Saccharomyces cerevisiae S288C: one gene and its partners. The gene in region 2 interacts genetically with the main gene of each other region. Each region holds a gene or a part of one and is shown on either strand. Other genes may lie near its edges. The genes, in order: PLB2, CQD1, PAU13 and THI3.

Region 1 (4,288 bases), on a different chromosome or scaffold from region 2:
CATCACGGCTAGAGGAGAAAGTGGGCTAAAGTTTAGAGAAGCTAGAGAGGAGCCTGGTATAGTAATGAGGGATTTACTCTTTGCTCTCGAAAATAGGCGCAACAGCGTTCAGACTATTATTTCAAAGGGTTATGCCAAGATCAGAGATTAATTGCTCATCTCTTATACTGTCTATAATATTTAAAGGTATAGTGTTTCAAATAAACTAGGATATAAAAAAAACAAGATTGACTAACATAAAGAAGGCCGGTTGGTGTCGCTTAGTCAAGTCATCGCCAAGCTATTGAGGACCATTCAACCTTTTTGCTTTGTTCATTTTAACTTTATAATAAGGAAGATATATCAATCCTTGAAGTTAGGCATCCTTCTACCAAAAATAGCGGAAAGAGGAGTGATAATCGGGAAAAAAATTTTCATATTAATACACATTTTTATACATTTACTTGTCATTATCCTTTTGGGTGAAAGGATGTATTATGTATTGTTTCTCAGAAGGGCTTCTAAATTAGTCCAAATAATGCTGTTATGGCACCTAACAAACTCATTAGAGTATTAGTGTTCGCATAGGAAATAGCCGCAGCATTCGCTTTGTTTGCCGTAGAGGAAGAAGAACGAGCTGTAGAGGAAGAAATTGAAGAGGATGAAGAATTTGAGTTTAAAGTTGTATTTGACGAAGAGTTTGAGTTAGAAGTGACATTTGATGAAGTCGAGGTTGTTGAGTTTGATGTAGTATTTCCGGAGGTTGATGAACCTAAGAGAGCCGTTATTGGAATACCGTCAGTAGCCTCAGAGATTGCAGAGGCAATAGCACCGCTTTGATACGTACTATTTCCCGATAGTTCAGGATTAGCTGAGGTACTTAGTGTGCCGTTCCAGCAGTAATCCGCAAAACATTTGGTACATTCAGGGGGCAAGGTGGCATTTAGGCTTTCTTGCTTACGTCTAATGATGGCACAACCTATGCAACCTAAAAAGTTAGAGTCATCCGTAAAGTTGCCCATTGTAGCAGCTTCAAAACCATTTCTGATCATTCCAAGACGTTCTGTAACATTGTAGTTCATCTTCAAAGTACTTTGGTTACCATTGAATGAATGTTTTGTGTTTGGGATATATACAACTAAAGGTGGAATATACTCCAAGTCCGTCAAATTTTTTGCATCACAACCAAAAAACGTTGGCTTATTAGTTAAGCCCAAGTTAAGGAAGGTGTTAACGTCTGGAACATATGGGAAAGCCATTCCTTTACCTTGCTTAGAATACTGGCGCTCATAAGTGTTCGTCATGCACACACCACTTGGCCATGATTCATCAGTATTGTCGGATATATCCAATGCGAACACCACATCCAAGTCACGTTCCTTCTTGATTAGTGGAACCAACGGCAAATTTTGGCCGTCCTCACCACCATCAACTAAAAACAAATCATCGGCATCAACAATACTGGAAGTGTAATTGCGGTCAACAAATTCTGTATCCTTGAATGGATTTGCAGCGTAAATTGCAATATCATCGTCATCTTGGGATAGGTTGTTAACGTACTTGTTGGCAAAACTATTAATCATTTTATAATAGGTCGAAGTGGAAGCTTCCAGGGAAAATTCGTTGAATAAACTGGCGGATGTGGCAATTACAAATCCAGCATTATCGTAACCAGAAACGCATTGATCCTTGTTGACCGGTTTACCATTTGTAACGTTGGTACCTAGATATTTCACATCCGTAAAAGCGTTCAAAGAAGGATCCCAAGAACCCATTTCAAATGGAGTGAACTCGAAAAGAGTGGCATTCAAGTTTATCACGGTGGTACCTGGGTATCTACCATCTGCAACAGTAATTGGTAAAGGCATTTCACCGTTTTTGAACACATCAACATCTCTCAAAGAGGACCAAGTCAAAGCGGAGCCAGCATCTGGCAAGCTTGGAAAGAAGTTGTAAGAAAGTGCACGGGCCCACAAATCCGACAAAGATATATTGAAGCCTGCATCAGACTTAGCCTGCACTTCTTGTACAATGGACTCCCATCTTTCAATTGTGTAGGTCAAATTAGAGCCACCAGGGTTCACAATGGATTTCGTGATATTCCAGATGGAATCGCTCTCACTCATATGGTCTACAATTTCCTGTACAGAGGTCCAATTGTTCCATGCCAAAGTACCAGTCAACCAGTTACCACCGGACAAACCCGATAGATACGTGGAACTTTGTAGTAAACCACCAAGACCATGCTCGTTAGCACCATCAGTACGATTGTCCATAGCAGCAATCATACCAGCACCACCCAACATGGCACGATAACCACCACCAGAGCATGCAATACCAATTTTGGGTACATTGGAAGAGTTACTACTGAAAAGAGTGGATAGCAAAGAAGTGTCACTGAAGTTAGAAGTAGCTCTGCTTAAGAAGGAATGTAAAGCTTCTTTAGTGTACGCATCTCTTTTCTTTAACCAATCAGTTTCAGCGGTAGATAAGCCAGACGCGTTTCTAACTAAAGAGGTATCATCACTGGGACAAGGAATTATTGATGGAGCATAACCATCACCAGTAGTGGACGACGAATCTGCAGCGAGCGAAAGTCCAGAAATTAGCGAGCTAGCCTGTAATATGTTCCGTAATTGCATCTGCGTAAGAAGTGTTACTTTACCAGCGCGAGTGAATTTTAACTCACTTCTAACCCTTGATAAGATTTGAAGGCACACTAAGGAAAAACAAGCTAAAAGACATTTCTAACGCCTTGTAAAGATAACTAATTGTGCTCATATATAAGGTATATTCTACTCCACATGAGATACGAAAAGAAGAAGATTCTCAGACTATTTAACTCTTTGTCCTTTTTTTACCTTTTTTTTGATTTTTTTTTCACTTTCTTCTGTTGGTAAACAATGCCAAGGTGGAGAATATGCGGAAGAAATGTCCGCAAGGTAAAAAATTGTTGAAAAAGGCGACGCGTCCCTTTGTAGGAGCTTTTCGAAGGCGTATACGAGCCAAGAAAAACCTTATTTCCCAGTTTGGCCAGACCGGCTGCATTGGGTGCGACGGTAAATTCTCTATAGGCATCACCATTGAAAAGTATGTCCTTAATTTAGTCGTGAGAATCATCATTGTGTTCGCCCTTTGTCGTATAACCGAATTGAGTGTCTTTGATTCATCTCTAAGGTGTAAAAGCAGAAAAACCAGATTATCTAAAGCTGCAAGAAAGAAAGAAACTGATCATTTTCATGAACAGTGCAGATATGTGGAAGTGAAATTTGGCCTGCAGATGGCATATCTGCAATCCTAGCTTTTTCCTTCTGCACTTTAAACCTATCTATATATCTTCGATGAAAGTACTGCATGAACATATCTGTATAGATAGATATATGTAGGGAAGACACCCGGTATGTAAATGTTAATGCTCGTAAGATTTCGAGTTTGTAAAAATAAGATGCGGTATGCACTTGAGATCTCGTAAACTATTTGTATGTTGATATTTTTGCGCTTTTCTCACTCTCGTATTCTTTTAGAAAAGAAATAGAAACGAAGAAAGAGCCTAAATTAGACCGAAGACGGCACTAATGACACTTAAGACACCAATAAAAGTGTTAGTGTTTAAGTTAGAATAATTCACCAAAGCATTGCCCGCATTTTTCTTATGAGTGGAAGACCCAGAAGCAGAGGCAGAGGCGGAAGCAGAGGCAGAGGCAGAGGCAGAGGCAGCAGCGGCGGAGGCAGACAAGGAAGCAGAAGAAGAATAATCATCATTTCCTACACCTGAGACTGACCTGCTGTCAATAGTACCGTTCCAGCAGTAGTTGGTAAAACACTGGCTGCATTCAGAGGGCAATGTAGCATTCAAGTTTTGTTGCTTACGTCTGATAATGGCGCAACCAACACAGCCCAAGAAATCAGAATCATCAGTAAAATTACCCATTGTGGCAGCTTCAAACCCATTCTTAATCATACCAAGACGTTCTGAATCGGAGTATGACATCTTAAAAGTACTTTGGTTACCATTAAATGAATGTCTTGAATTTGGAATGTAAACAATTAATGGTGGAATGTACTCCAAGTCTGTCAAATTTCTTGCATCACAACCAAAAAAGGTTGGCTTTTTGTTCAACCCCAAGTTGACAAATGTGTTCACATCTGGAACATATGGGAAAGACAAATTGAGACCTTGGCTGCCAAATTGACGCTGATAAGTGTTAACTAATGAAGCACCATCTGGCCAATAGTCGTCAGTATCAGCAGAATTGTCTAATGCAAAAATAACATCTAGTTCACGTTCCTTTTGCAACAATGGAACTAA
Region 2 (4,418 bases):
TCCGCACCGGATAAATTCTGTAAAGTAATGACCATCCCTGATTTCTTATCATTTTCTACTTTTGATCACGTCTCTATCTAATGACGGTTTCATGCACCCTCTGACTGTTGTAATTTACGTATTATTATTCTGTTTAATTTATGCTATTTATGTAAATGAGTTCGGCCATGTCGGAGGAGAAAGATATCTTTTTTCAAATTTGAGTATCTGATTCGGGCTTATAATACATGCCCACGACATCGCTCGATCATATATTCCAACTCTTCAAGCTCCCTCTTCATTTTATTCTTCACGTTGAACGGTTCAAAGAGCCCCAGAAAATAGGTGCTGAGATCCAGACACTCCTTGTACTTACATTGGTAAAATAAACGATGGCAGAAACCACTAAGCACCTGTCGCTGATGCTTATTGGAGATATCGTACTTGCCTTCCCGGATCTCAACCAAGGGATCTACCTCATCCATCCATCCTACCTTTGTCCGCACAGGGCCTTGTTCTACTTCGAAGTAGTGCTGCAATTGCTGTGTATACTCTTCTTCCGTTTGACCTTTACGTATTTTAGTTTTCCCGGTGGATTTTCTAACAATTACTTCACCTGTTCTACCATCTAACGAGATTGGCTTAGTCACTGATTGATCCTTCTCTCCGTGGGCTTTCCTAAAACCTGTACTATAGTTTTTTTCCACCATTTTTGGTGCTTCTTCTCTATCAGATGCTTCTTTCATAAAAATTATTATCTTTCTTAGCTGTTATTCATCTTACATTTTTTTTTCAATTACGGCGAGGCGATGACTTCAATCGTTGCTGTCAAGATTGAATTGACAATTACAGTCGATGTTGAATATTAACTTATATATGACAGATCATTACAGCTAGTCTAGTTCGACAAGATTAGTAAGATTAGGAGTTATTTTTAACTGCTTATTATGCAAGTTGTGTAGGCCACAGGCGCAACTGAAAAACATAATTTCAGATTAGGCAGTTACTGGAAAGATCGCGTTCTTGTATTGTCTAAATAGAAGCAGTTGTTTTAATAATGCTTACAATTGAACTATGAACCAAAGCAATAATTTATGAGAAACTAAAATGGGATGCATCAGATCTTTGCACTCAATTGAGTTTAAAACTGTACAGGTACTAATATTATATTAACGCTGCTTCTATAACACTTGTTTTGACATGACGATAAGTGTAGTGTATTCAAATGCCGTATGTCACTTGAACACACAGGGAACTGCACTCTGCACTTCGGAACAAGATTGAAAGTTACTGTGTTATTAACCTTTGCCAACAAGCGAAAACAACCAGGTGTTTCTGCGGTTTACAAAATCTTTAAGGGATTGAGGTTAGTTGGCTCAAAGAGAAGAAGTTCCCAGTCGATGTATCAAGCAGAGCTAAGAGAAAAAGTGCCGCGAAAGGGTTTGATTGGTCAAGTTGGCTTGTTCATCAGGAACTAAATTAATCAAGGTGTGATTCTATCTGTCAACCCCCCCCCTTGATACTTCCTGTACTTAGAATCAATTTATTAAATACAAATTTAGAATCTGTGATTCGTAAATCTTAAGTGTTTAAATACTAAGTGTGTATTAAAGGCTTTACTTCAAGCAACGAAAAATAAATAACCCCGAATATATGAGGGGCAATAATACCTTTTCACTCATTTGATGAAAAAGAAAAGATGTTTGATGTTATAGAAAATACCTTATACCATATCTTCTACCTACTCATCAATATCAAACCCTCACAGAATAGAGATAAAGAACATCAGAACCATCTGGGCAATGTCATTTTTAAAGTTCGCTTATAGAAACTCTTGGCGATACTATAGCAAGTCCACACGGCATTTTCATAAAATACCTATAAGACAGTTCATAATACCTACGTCAATTGCTTTTTATTTGACACAAAATTCGTTTCCAAAACAAAATTGTTTGATATACAATGATTCTCTAAAACCGGATCCCAAAGGTGATACTTTTGAAATGGGCCTCTACGTTTCCTCAGAAAACGAATTGCAGGAAAAGCTTAAATCTTTCAGGTCTGCTAAGATCACTGAATCACGAAATAAATTAATAAGATATCTAAGAATCTTTTGGTTCGGTTTTAATGATAATATTGTTGAGCCTGTATGCACGATTTTAAGGTTTTTAGAAATTTCAGCTATTTTTTTACCTCTTCTCCTATTATACCCCATATCATGGTTTGGTCATAAACTCAAAATTACGGACACCAATATAACTGAAACTCGAGGTTCATTGATTTGGTGTCAACTACTGCGTAAAGCATTGGAATTGGCTGGCCCGAGTTTCATTAAACTCGGACAATGGGCAGGATCGAGAACCGATATATTCTCTCACGCACTGTGTCATGAGTTGGGTAAATTGCATAGTAACGTTACAGCTCACTCTCTAAGCTTTACTCTGGAAAAACTTTCTCAAGCATTAAAGGTTGACAAGATCGAAGATGCTTTTGATGAATTTAATCGAACACCAATTGGAGTTGGGTCCATCGCACAAGTTTACGTGGGTGAACTATCCCAAAAGTACATCGATAAATATGACAATATACAAATTGGTAAGGATGGAAATCGTTGGTGTGCCATCAAGATCTTGCATCCAAATGTAAGATCTCAGATCCGGAGAGATTTGAAAATAATGAAATTCTGTGCTGACGCAATAAATTGGATTCCGACTATGGAATGGCTGTCTTTACCCAGCGAAGTCGATCAGTTTTCCATATTAATGAATATTCAGTTGGATCTAAGAATTGAGGCGTTAAACCTGGAAAGATTCAATGAGAACTTTAAAAATTCTATTCAGGTGAAATTTCCTAAACCATTTCTCCCCTTGTCAAATAGGGATGTTATGTTCGAAGAGCATGTATATGGTCTTTCCATGGAAAAGTTTTTATCTACGAAGAAGCAAATTAACGACGTTGAACTTTGTAAAAAAGTCAGTGATCCCTTCGTTGACGCGTTTCTACAAATGCTAATTCTTGATGATTTTGTTCATGCTGATTTGCATCCAGGCAATGTTATAATCAGATTTGTGAAGACGAACAAATACGGCACAAACATTATATCCTCCGAACTTGAATCGTACAGAATAACGCACGACCTGAGGAAGAAGATAGAGGAGGACCAAGATCAGGACTTTGTTGGAAAACTGAAGTCTGTATTAACTAATTACACTCCCCAAATTTGTTTTATCGATACAGGAATAATTACAGAATTGAATGAAAAAAACAGAATTAATTTCATAGCTCTATTCAACGCATTGGCCCGATTTGATGGTTATAGAGCTGGTGAGTTGATGATTGAGAGATCAAGAACTCCAGAAACAGCTATTGATAAGGAAGTATTTGCGTTTAAGGTAGAAAAGCTAGTGGATAAAGTTAAACAAAGAACATTTACATTGGGAACCGTCTCAATTGGCGATTTACTCGATCAAATGCTTAGTATGGTAAGGTCGCACCATGTTAGAATGGAGTCCGACTTTGTTTCCGTGGTGGTCGCTATTTTACTTCTAGAGGGTATTGGACGCCAGTTAGATCCAAACTTGGACTTATTTGAAAGGTTCGTATTTTACGCATGGATTAACGGTTTTAAAGAATAACATCAATTTTTTAAAACCCTTTTCTATTGCTTTTTTTTGCTTTTTATTGCTACTAAAGAAATTCTTTTACTAACAAAAATACCCACATCTTGTAACTTCTCTTCGTAAACAGTTCGCTGCCTATATTACGTGAATTCGGGTTTAAGCGGGAAGCCAAAAGTCTCTTGAAAGATGCAAGCACATTATCAATGCTCAAGATATGGGTTGGTTTAGAAGTGCGTCAATTAATGCATCTCTCGATGAAGCAAATATACGATCTTGTCAGGACTGATCAATTGTGTCCTAATTATTAATATTCTTTCTTTTTATGCATCTTTTATAATTGCGACTTCCACGTGTTCGCAGGTGGAGCAATGTTACACACGCTGTCCCAACATATTAGCTCTCCAAAAAAACGACCAAGTTTATTTAAGTGACAAATAATAATTTGCTGTTGCTCTAGCTGAAATTTAGACCAGTGCTGTCATTATCGACTCGTAGTGTTCTTTTAATAGTAAATTTCGTCAAAACGTTTCTAATTCACTTAATAGCGCCAACTGAATAAGAGAATTATTTTTAGAACGTGCACATTATATTAAAAAGAGAGCGTTGGCTGACAGAAGTAAAAAATAAATTATTGTCTTACAAAGTGAGACTATTAAAGAGTTTAAGTTTTGCAATTAGTGCTTCATTGAACAATAAGGCAACGGTAGCAAAAAATTTAAACCCAACTAAGAAGGGAACCCTCATCAAATTACACAAAAATAGCCACTATCTCCAACTAAGGTGACAAACTACTGAAACTGTAAGGTCTTTATATAATCA
Region 3 (2,712 bases), on a different chromosome or scaffold from region 2:
GAGGCTTGCTTTCTACTGATATATAAAACGCTCGACCGATTGGTTCTTCAATTGGTATAGCTAATAACTATAGCTGGACTAATTAAGACTTCAAGGACGTCTTACGCAAGCGTGGGTGATTTTATTATTAAACAATTTTTCTGTCTCTATACGCATATATGTTCTATAACATAAATATGTAATGGATACTAACCTTTTTCTGTGATTAACTTACTCTTTGCGTTACACCTCCATCTGACTCATAAAACAGGAAGACTCAGATTTATTAACTTTAGCATTTACGCCGCAAATGGTAAATGCTCCGGCCCGATACCCTGAAATAGCAACATGTACGAAAGAAGGTATTCAACTGAAGCCTTTTAGACAGACAAGACTATTGGATTATCAAGGCACTATATTTTACCACTACAGTAAATACTTCTGATAAGAACGGCATGAATAATCAAGTAGGTTTTATAATACTGGTATACATTAATATAATCAACTATTTATACTATCAAAAAAAAAAGCTTTTTTTTTTTTGTTTTTTTAAGTTTTATGGAATTTCATTCGTAAAGGCGTTTGTCTCTAGTTTGTGATAGTGTAGATACCGTCCTTGGATAGAGCACTGGAGATGGCTGGCTTTAATCTGCTGGAGTACCATGGAACACCGGTGATCATTCTGGTCACTTGGTCTGGGGCAATACCAGTCAACATGGTGGTGAAGTCACCGTAGTTGAAAACGGCTTCAGCAACTTCAACCGGGTAGGTTTCAGTTGGGTGGGCGGCTTGGAACATGTAGTATTGGGCCAAGTGAGCTCTGATATCAGAGACGTAGACACCCAATTCAACCAAGTTGACTCTTTCGTCAGATTGAGCTAGAGTGGTGGTTGCGGAAGCAGTAGCAGCGATGGCAGCGACACCAGCGGCGATTGAAGTTAGTTTGACCATTGTATTTGTTATGTTTGTTATGTTTGTTAGTGCTGATATAAGCTTAACAGGAAGGGAAGGAATAAAGACATATTCTCAAAGGCATATAGTTGAAGCAGCTCTATTTATACCCATGCCTTCATCAGTCATCACTACTTAAACGATTCGTTAACAGACGCTCATTTAGTACCTCGCATATTCTCCATATCTCATCTTTCACAGAATTTGATTATCACTATGAAGATGTTATTGTTTTTAAACGAGGCATGCATCTTTATAGATTCCGTATGCGAAGGTATTGTTTTCTGGGGCCTTTGTCTATTCGTATGCGCAGAATGTGGGAATGCCTATTATAGGGGTGCCAGAGTGCCTTATAAAACCCTTTTCCGTGCCTTTGAAGTTTCCGTTTTCGGTCAAAAAGAATATCCGAATTTTAGATTTGGACCCTCGTACAGATTCTTATGTTTAAGCCCATATTCAATTTGCTGTAAACAGCCTCCAATGGAAGAGGTAATACTATATTATCCCTCTCCTGATAGTTTAATTAAAAATAGAAAACGTGTATTGGGAGTCGCTTATTTGTAGAGTTTGTAGTTTTTAAGCGTTCTCAGGAAATTCATTGACGCAATTACGTAATTGTAGGCCGCTGAGAAGCAGCTAGTATTGGAAGAGCCGCGTATGGTAAAAAAAAAATGTTGAGTTCAGTTTGTAGCAGTACTACAACTCTGTGCGGTGGGAAAAATTTATTCTTCGAGGCACAGTATTTTTCTTCTAGCTAGATATAAAGAAAAGTGAAAAAGGCAATATATGGCGCTAATGTATTTTATTCAATTAAAAACTTTCTGTAGGAAATGGTATTAATAGTTGGTATTCCTTGTAGACAAAACCATCGCTATATTCATGGTGACGGCTCATCTCTAAAGCTTCTTAAATGTACAGTCAGCTAAGTGTTCTCATAAGAAAGGGTTTGAAGAAGTCTCCGATAGCGTGCTTTAGTATGTTGACGAAAGAAATCAAGATCTAGCTTATATGTCATAATGAAGTAAGTTATATTGGAGTTTTTCTGGTAAATTCTACAAAAGTTATGCAACATACTTATTTCTGTCCTCTTCTTACTCGTCTTGCGGCCAAAACTCGAAGAAAAACATACGGGCCAAGAAAAATGATGCAATCCTCCCAGTTCTAGATATTCCCGCTTTTAAGTCCCGAATTATAACAATATAAAAAGGATATAGAAAATGTAATTGTTAACTTGTGGTATAAAGACAAATTCAAAAGCAAGTGAGGGCCCGCTAAGGCTATGAGTTCAGAATTATTAATATCTAATTCTAAACCAAGACCAGAAGGATTAAGAAAATTATGCGAAGGTGAGACAGTGATCCTTCCAAGGGACATAACCCCCAGCAAATGCGCTTATTTCTTAAAACAGAATATCGTATTCATTTCATATATTTTCATCCATATTATTATTACCATAATCTTAAACCGCCTGGCATTATCTGCACACGGTAATACTTTGATTATTATCTTAGCGGCTTTACTAATTACAATTTCACTATTCCTTTTACTCCTCTTACCTTACTTAAGCTGCTCAAGATATAAGTTAAGATGTTTAGATGATGATTGTAAGTTCAAACTATTAGCGGAAGTCATTACACATAAACCTAACATGGACTTGAGCACATGGGACCGGATTGCATATGACATGAACCAATTTGTATATGACCGTCGTATATGTGCAGATAGATCTTTTTTCTACGATGGCAGTTATTGCTATCAGGTTTTTAAAAAGTTGGTGGCTAC
Region 4 (4,312 bases), on a different chromosome or scaffold from region 2:
TAGCAAGCTTAGTAAAGAGAAGGTTGAGAAAATGATTAATTTTGATTATAGGTATATTAAAACCAAGGAAAGGACTAGTATGTATAATTATTTTTTATTTTTTTTTTTTATGTTCTTGCCAGTGGAGGAATGTTTCTTTCGTCACAACCGGAGTGAATAGTGGAACTACTGTCAGTTCATAGTATCGCGACACAAAAAAAAATAATTAAAAGAAAAAAAAAGAGAGTGTAAAATAAAGATTTATGAAATTGCATCCCTAATCTTAGAAACTTGCTTACGAAATATCAGGAAGCATAGCGGAACATTTTTCCATATTACATCAACTACCATTTTTTATGGGAATCACATTATATACTAACATAGGTTTAGTTCATAAACGGGTTTATAAACATGACCGCAAAACTGATGTCGACCGAAAAAATCATGGAGGAACTATCGACATCAGTTATCCTACGACAGAAGTGGTTGGCCATGGTTCATTTGGTGTTGTAGTCACGACTGTAATAATTGAGACCAATCAAAAAGTTGCCATAAAGAAAGTACTACAAGATAGAAGATATAAAAATAGGGAGCTCGAAACTATGAAGATGTTGTGCCATCCAAATACTGTGGGTCTACAGTACTACTTTTACGAAAAGGACGAAGAAGATGAAGTATACCTCAATCTGGTTTTGGACTACATGCCTCAGTCGTTATACCAAAGGCTTCGTCATTTTGTTAATTTGAAAATGCAGATGCCGCGTGTTGAAATTAAATTCTATGCATACCAACTATTCAAAGCTTTAAACTATTTGCATAACGTTCCTCGAATCTGTCACAGAGATATAAAACCGCAAAACCTACTGGTGGATCCGACAACTTTTTCTTTCAAGATTTGCGATTTTGGCAGTGCCAAATGCTTGAAACCGGATCAGCCTAATGTGTCTTACATCTGTTCAAGGTACTATAGGGCTCCCGAACTCATGTTTGGTGCCACTAATTACTCAAACCAGGTCGACGTGTGGTCAAGCGCTTGTGTCATTGCTGAGTTGCTTTTGGGCAAGCCCTTGTTCTCTGGTGAAAGCGGTATAGATCAGTTGGTGGAAATTATTAAGATAATGGGCATACCCACAAAGGATGAAATTTCAGGAATGAACCCAAATTATGAAGACCATGTTTTCCCCAATATCAAGCCCATTACTTTGGCTGAAATATTCAAAGCCGAAGATCCCGATACTCTTGACTTGTTAACAAAAACTCTGAAGTATCACCCTTGCGAAAGATTGGTACCTCTACAATGTCTATTATCAAGCTATTTTGACGAAACCAAACGTTGTGATACCGACACTTACGTAAAAGCACAAAACCTGCGTATATTTGACTTCGACGTGGAAACTGAGTTGGGCCATGTTCCACTTGTGGAACGGCCCGCCATTGAAGAACGGTTGAAACATTTTGTTTCTGCACCTTCATCGTCTTTGTGATATATCTCATCCTTCAAATTTCTTAGTCTATTGTATCATTACTATTACATAATATGCATTTGTCTTCTGCACACAGATACACAGCGTATGCAGTTAACCTAACGTATAACGACCGTCCTCTTTCCTTCATTTAATTTCACTTGCTGCTTTTCTAGGCAGCGGTCGCCCAAATTTTCACCGGCCACAAGCGTATGACTGCATATGCAGAACCTTGGCAACTGTAAGAACTCCTATGTTTCTTTATTGCAAACAGTTGCTAAAAGCACTCACATAGAAGAAAAATTGATGAAACTTGCGATGCATTGAACAAATTTCCCTTTCTTCATACTTTACGGCATAGTAATCTTTGAACCTTTTGGTAAGCACCAAATTCGTAATTCATTATCGATATTGTGTAGAAAAGAGTAAAATATAATAAAACGAAAAAAAAAAGGTTTGAAAGAACATAACTACTAAAACGCACCGTCGTCATTCTGAAGATGAATTCTAGCTATACACAGAGATATGCACTGCCGAAGTGTATAGCAATATCAGATTATCTTTTCCATCGGCTCAACCAGCTGAACATACATACCATATTTGGACTCTCCGGAGAATTTAGCATGCCGTTGCTGGATAAACTATACAACATTCCGAACTTACGATGGGCCGGTAATTCTAATGAGTTAAATGCTGCCTACGCAGCAGATGGATACTCACGACTAAAAGGCTTGGGATGTCTCATAACAACCTTTGGTGTAGGCGAATTATCGGCAATCAATGGCGTGGCCGGATCTTACGCTGAACATGTAGGAATACTTCACATAGTGGGTATGCCGCCAACAAGTGCACAAACGAAACAACTACTACTGCATCATACTCTGGGCAATGGTGATTTCACGGTATTTCATAGAATAGCCAGTGATGTAGCATGCTATACAACATTGATTATTGACTCTGAATTATGTGCCGACGAAGTCGATAAGTGCATCAAAAAGGCTTGGATAGAACAGAGGCCAGTATACATGGGCATGCCTGTCAACCAGGTAAATCTCCCGATTGAATCAGCAAGGCTTAATACACCTCTGGATTTACAATTGCATAAAAACGACCCAGACGTAGAGAAAGAAGTTATTTCTCGAATATTGAGTTTTATATACAAAAGCCAGAATCCGGCAATCATCGTAGATGCATGTACTAGTCGACAGAATTTAATCGAGGAGACTAAAGAGCTTTGTAATAGGCTTAAATTTCCAGTTTTTGTTACACCTATGGGTAAGGGTACAGTAAACGAAACAGACCCGCAATTTGGGGGCGTATTCACGGGCTCGATATCAGCCCCAGAAGTAAGAGAAGTAGTTGATTTTGCCGATTTTATCATCGTCATTGGTTGCATGCTCTCCGAATTCAGCACGTCAACTTTCCACTTCCAATATAAAACTAAGAATTGTGCGCTACTATATTCTACATCTGTGAAATTGAAAAATGCCACATATCCTGACTTGAGCATTAAATTACTACTACAGAAAATATTAGCAAATCTTGATGAATCTAAACTGTCTTACCAACCAAGCGAACAACCCAGTATGATGGTTCCAAGACCTTACCCAGCAGGAAATGTCCTCTTGAGACAAGAATGGGTCTGGAATGAAATATCCCATTGGTTCCAACCAGGTGACATAATCATAACAGAAACTGGTGCTTCTGCATTTGGAGTTAACCAGACCAGATTTCCGGTAAATACACTAGGTATTTCGCAAGCTCTTTGGGGATCTGTCGGATATACAATGGGGGCGTGTCTTGGGGCAGAATTTGCTGTTCAAGAGATAAACAAGGATAAATTCCCCGCAACTAAACATAGAGTTATTCTGTTTATGGGTGACGGTGCTTTCCAATTGACAGTTCAAGAATTATCCACAATTGTTAAGTGGGGATTGACACCTTATATTTTTGTGATGAATAACCAAGGTTACTCTGTGGACAGGTTTTTGCATCACAGGTCAGATGCTAGTTATTACGATATCCAACCTTGGAACTACTTGGGATTATTGCGAGTATTTGGTTGCACGAACTACGAAACGAAAAAAATTATTACTGTTGGAGAATTCAGATCCATGATCAGTGACCCAAACTTTGCGACCAATGACAAAATTCGGATGATAGAGATTATGCTACCACCAAGGGATGTTCCACAGGCTCTGCTTGACAGGTGGGTGGTAGAAAAAGAACAGAGCAAACAAGTGCAAGAGGAGAACGAAAATTCTAGCGCAGTAAATACGCCAACTCCAGAATTCCAACCACTTCTAAAAAAAAATCAAGTTGGATACTGATCTGATCTCTCCGCCCTACTACCAGGGACCCTCATGATTACCGCTCGAATGCGACGTTTCCTGCCTCATAAAACTGGCTTGAAAATATTTATTCGCTGAACAGTAGCCTAGCTTATAAAAATTTCATTTAATTAATGTAATATGAAAACTCACATGCCTTCTGTTTCTAAAATTGTCACAGCAAGAAATAACATTACCATACGTGATCTTATTAAACTCTAGTATCTTGTCTAATACTTCATTTAAAAGAAGCCTTAACCCTGTAGCCTCATCTATGTCTGCTACATATCGTGAGGTACGAATATCGTAAGATGATACCACGCAACTTTGTAATGATTTTTTTTTTTTCATTTTTTAAAGAATGCCTTTACATGGTATTTGAAAAAAATATCTTTATAAAGTTTGCGATCTCTTCTGTTCTGAATAATTTTTAGTAAAAGAAATCAAAAGAATAAAGAAATAGTCCGCTTTGTCCAATACAACAGCTTAAACCGATTATCTCTAAAATAACAAGAAGAAATGTCTACTGAATCCGCTTTG

Evidence for each region.
Region 1: mutations in CQD1 (region 2) and PLB2 together harm fitness more than expected from each alone (negative genetic interaction), as found in Saccharomyces cerevisiae (2 studies listed by BioGRID).
Region 3: mutations in CQD1 (region 2) and PAU13 together harm fitness more than expected from each alone (negative genetic interaction), as found in Saccharomyces cerevisiae (2 studies listed by BioGRID).
Region 4: mutations in CQD1 (region 2) and THI3 together harm fitness more than expected from each alone (negative genetic interaction), as found in Saccharomyces cerevisiae (2 studies listed by BioGRID).

Annotation. Positions count from the first base shown.
Region 1 is NC_001145.3:277,061-281,348, forward strand, and holds PLB2 (lysophospholipase), read right to left. Parts: upstream 2,622-4,288; coding exon 501-2,621; downstream 1-500. Other genes in the region: TAF4 (Taf4p), read left to right, coding at 1-151; YMR007W (uncharacterized protein), read left to right, coding at 2,900-3,280; PLB1 (lysophospholipase), read right to left, coding at 3,530-4,288. UniProt on the Saccharomyces cerevisiae protein: Sequentially removes both fatty acyl groups from diacylglycerophospholipids and therefore has both phospholipase A and lysophospholipase activities. However, it does not display transacylase activity.
Region 2 is NC_001148.4:344,753-349,170, reverse strand, and holds CQD1 (Cqd1p), read left to right. Parts: upstream 1-1,781; coding exon 1,782-3,574; intron 3,575-3,726; coding exon 3,727-3,907; downstream 3,908-4,418. Other genes in the region: DPC25 (Dpc25p), read right to left, coding at 1-52; YPL108W (uncharacterized protein), read right to left, coding at 219-725.
Region 3 is NC_001140.6:11,356-14,067, forward strand, and holds PAU13 (seripauperin PAU13), read right to left. Parts: upstream 931-2,712; coding exon 568-930; downstream 1-567. Other genes in the region: PXP3 (Pxp3p), read left to right, coding at 1,147-1,494; DFP4 (DUP240 family protein), read left to right, coding at 2,210-2,712.
Region 4 is NC_001136.10:310,102-314,413, reverse strand, and holds THI3 (branched-chain-2-oxoacid decarboxylase THI3), read left to right. Parts: upstream 1-1,942; coding exon 1,943-3,772; downstream 3,773-4,312. Other genes in the region: putative serine/threonine protein kinase MRK1, read left to right, coding at 1-77, 370-1,463; ribosomal protein P1 RPP1A, read left to right, coding at 4,292-4,312. UniProt on the Saccharomyces cerevisiae protein: One of five 2-oxo acid decarboxylases (PDC1, PDC5, PDC6, ARO10, and THI3) involved in amino acid catabolism.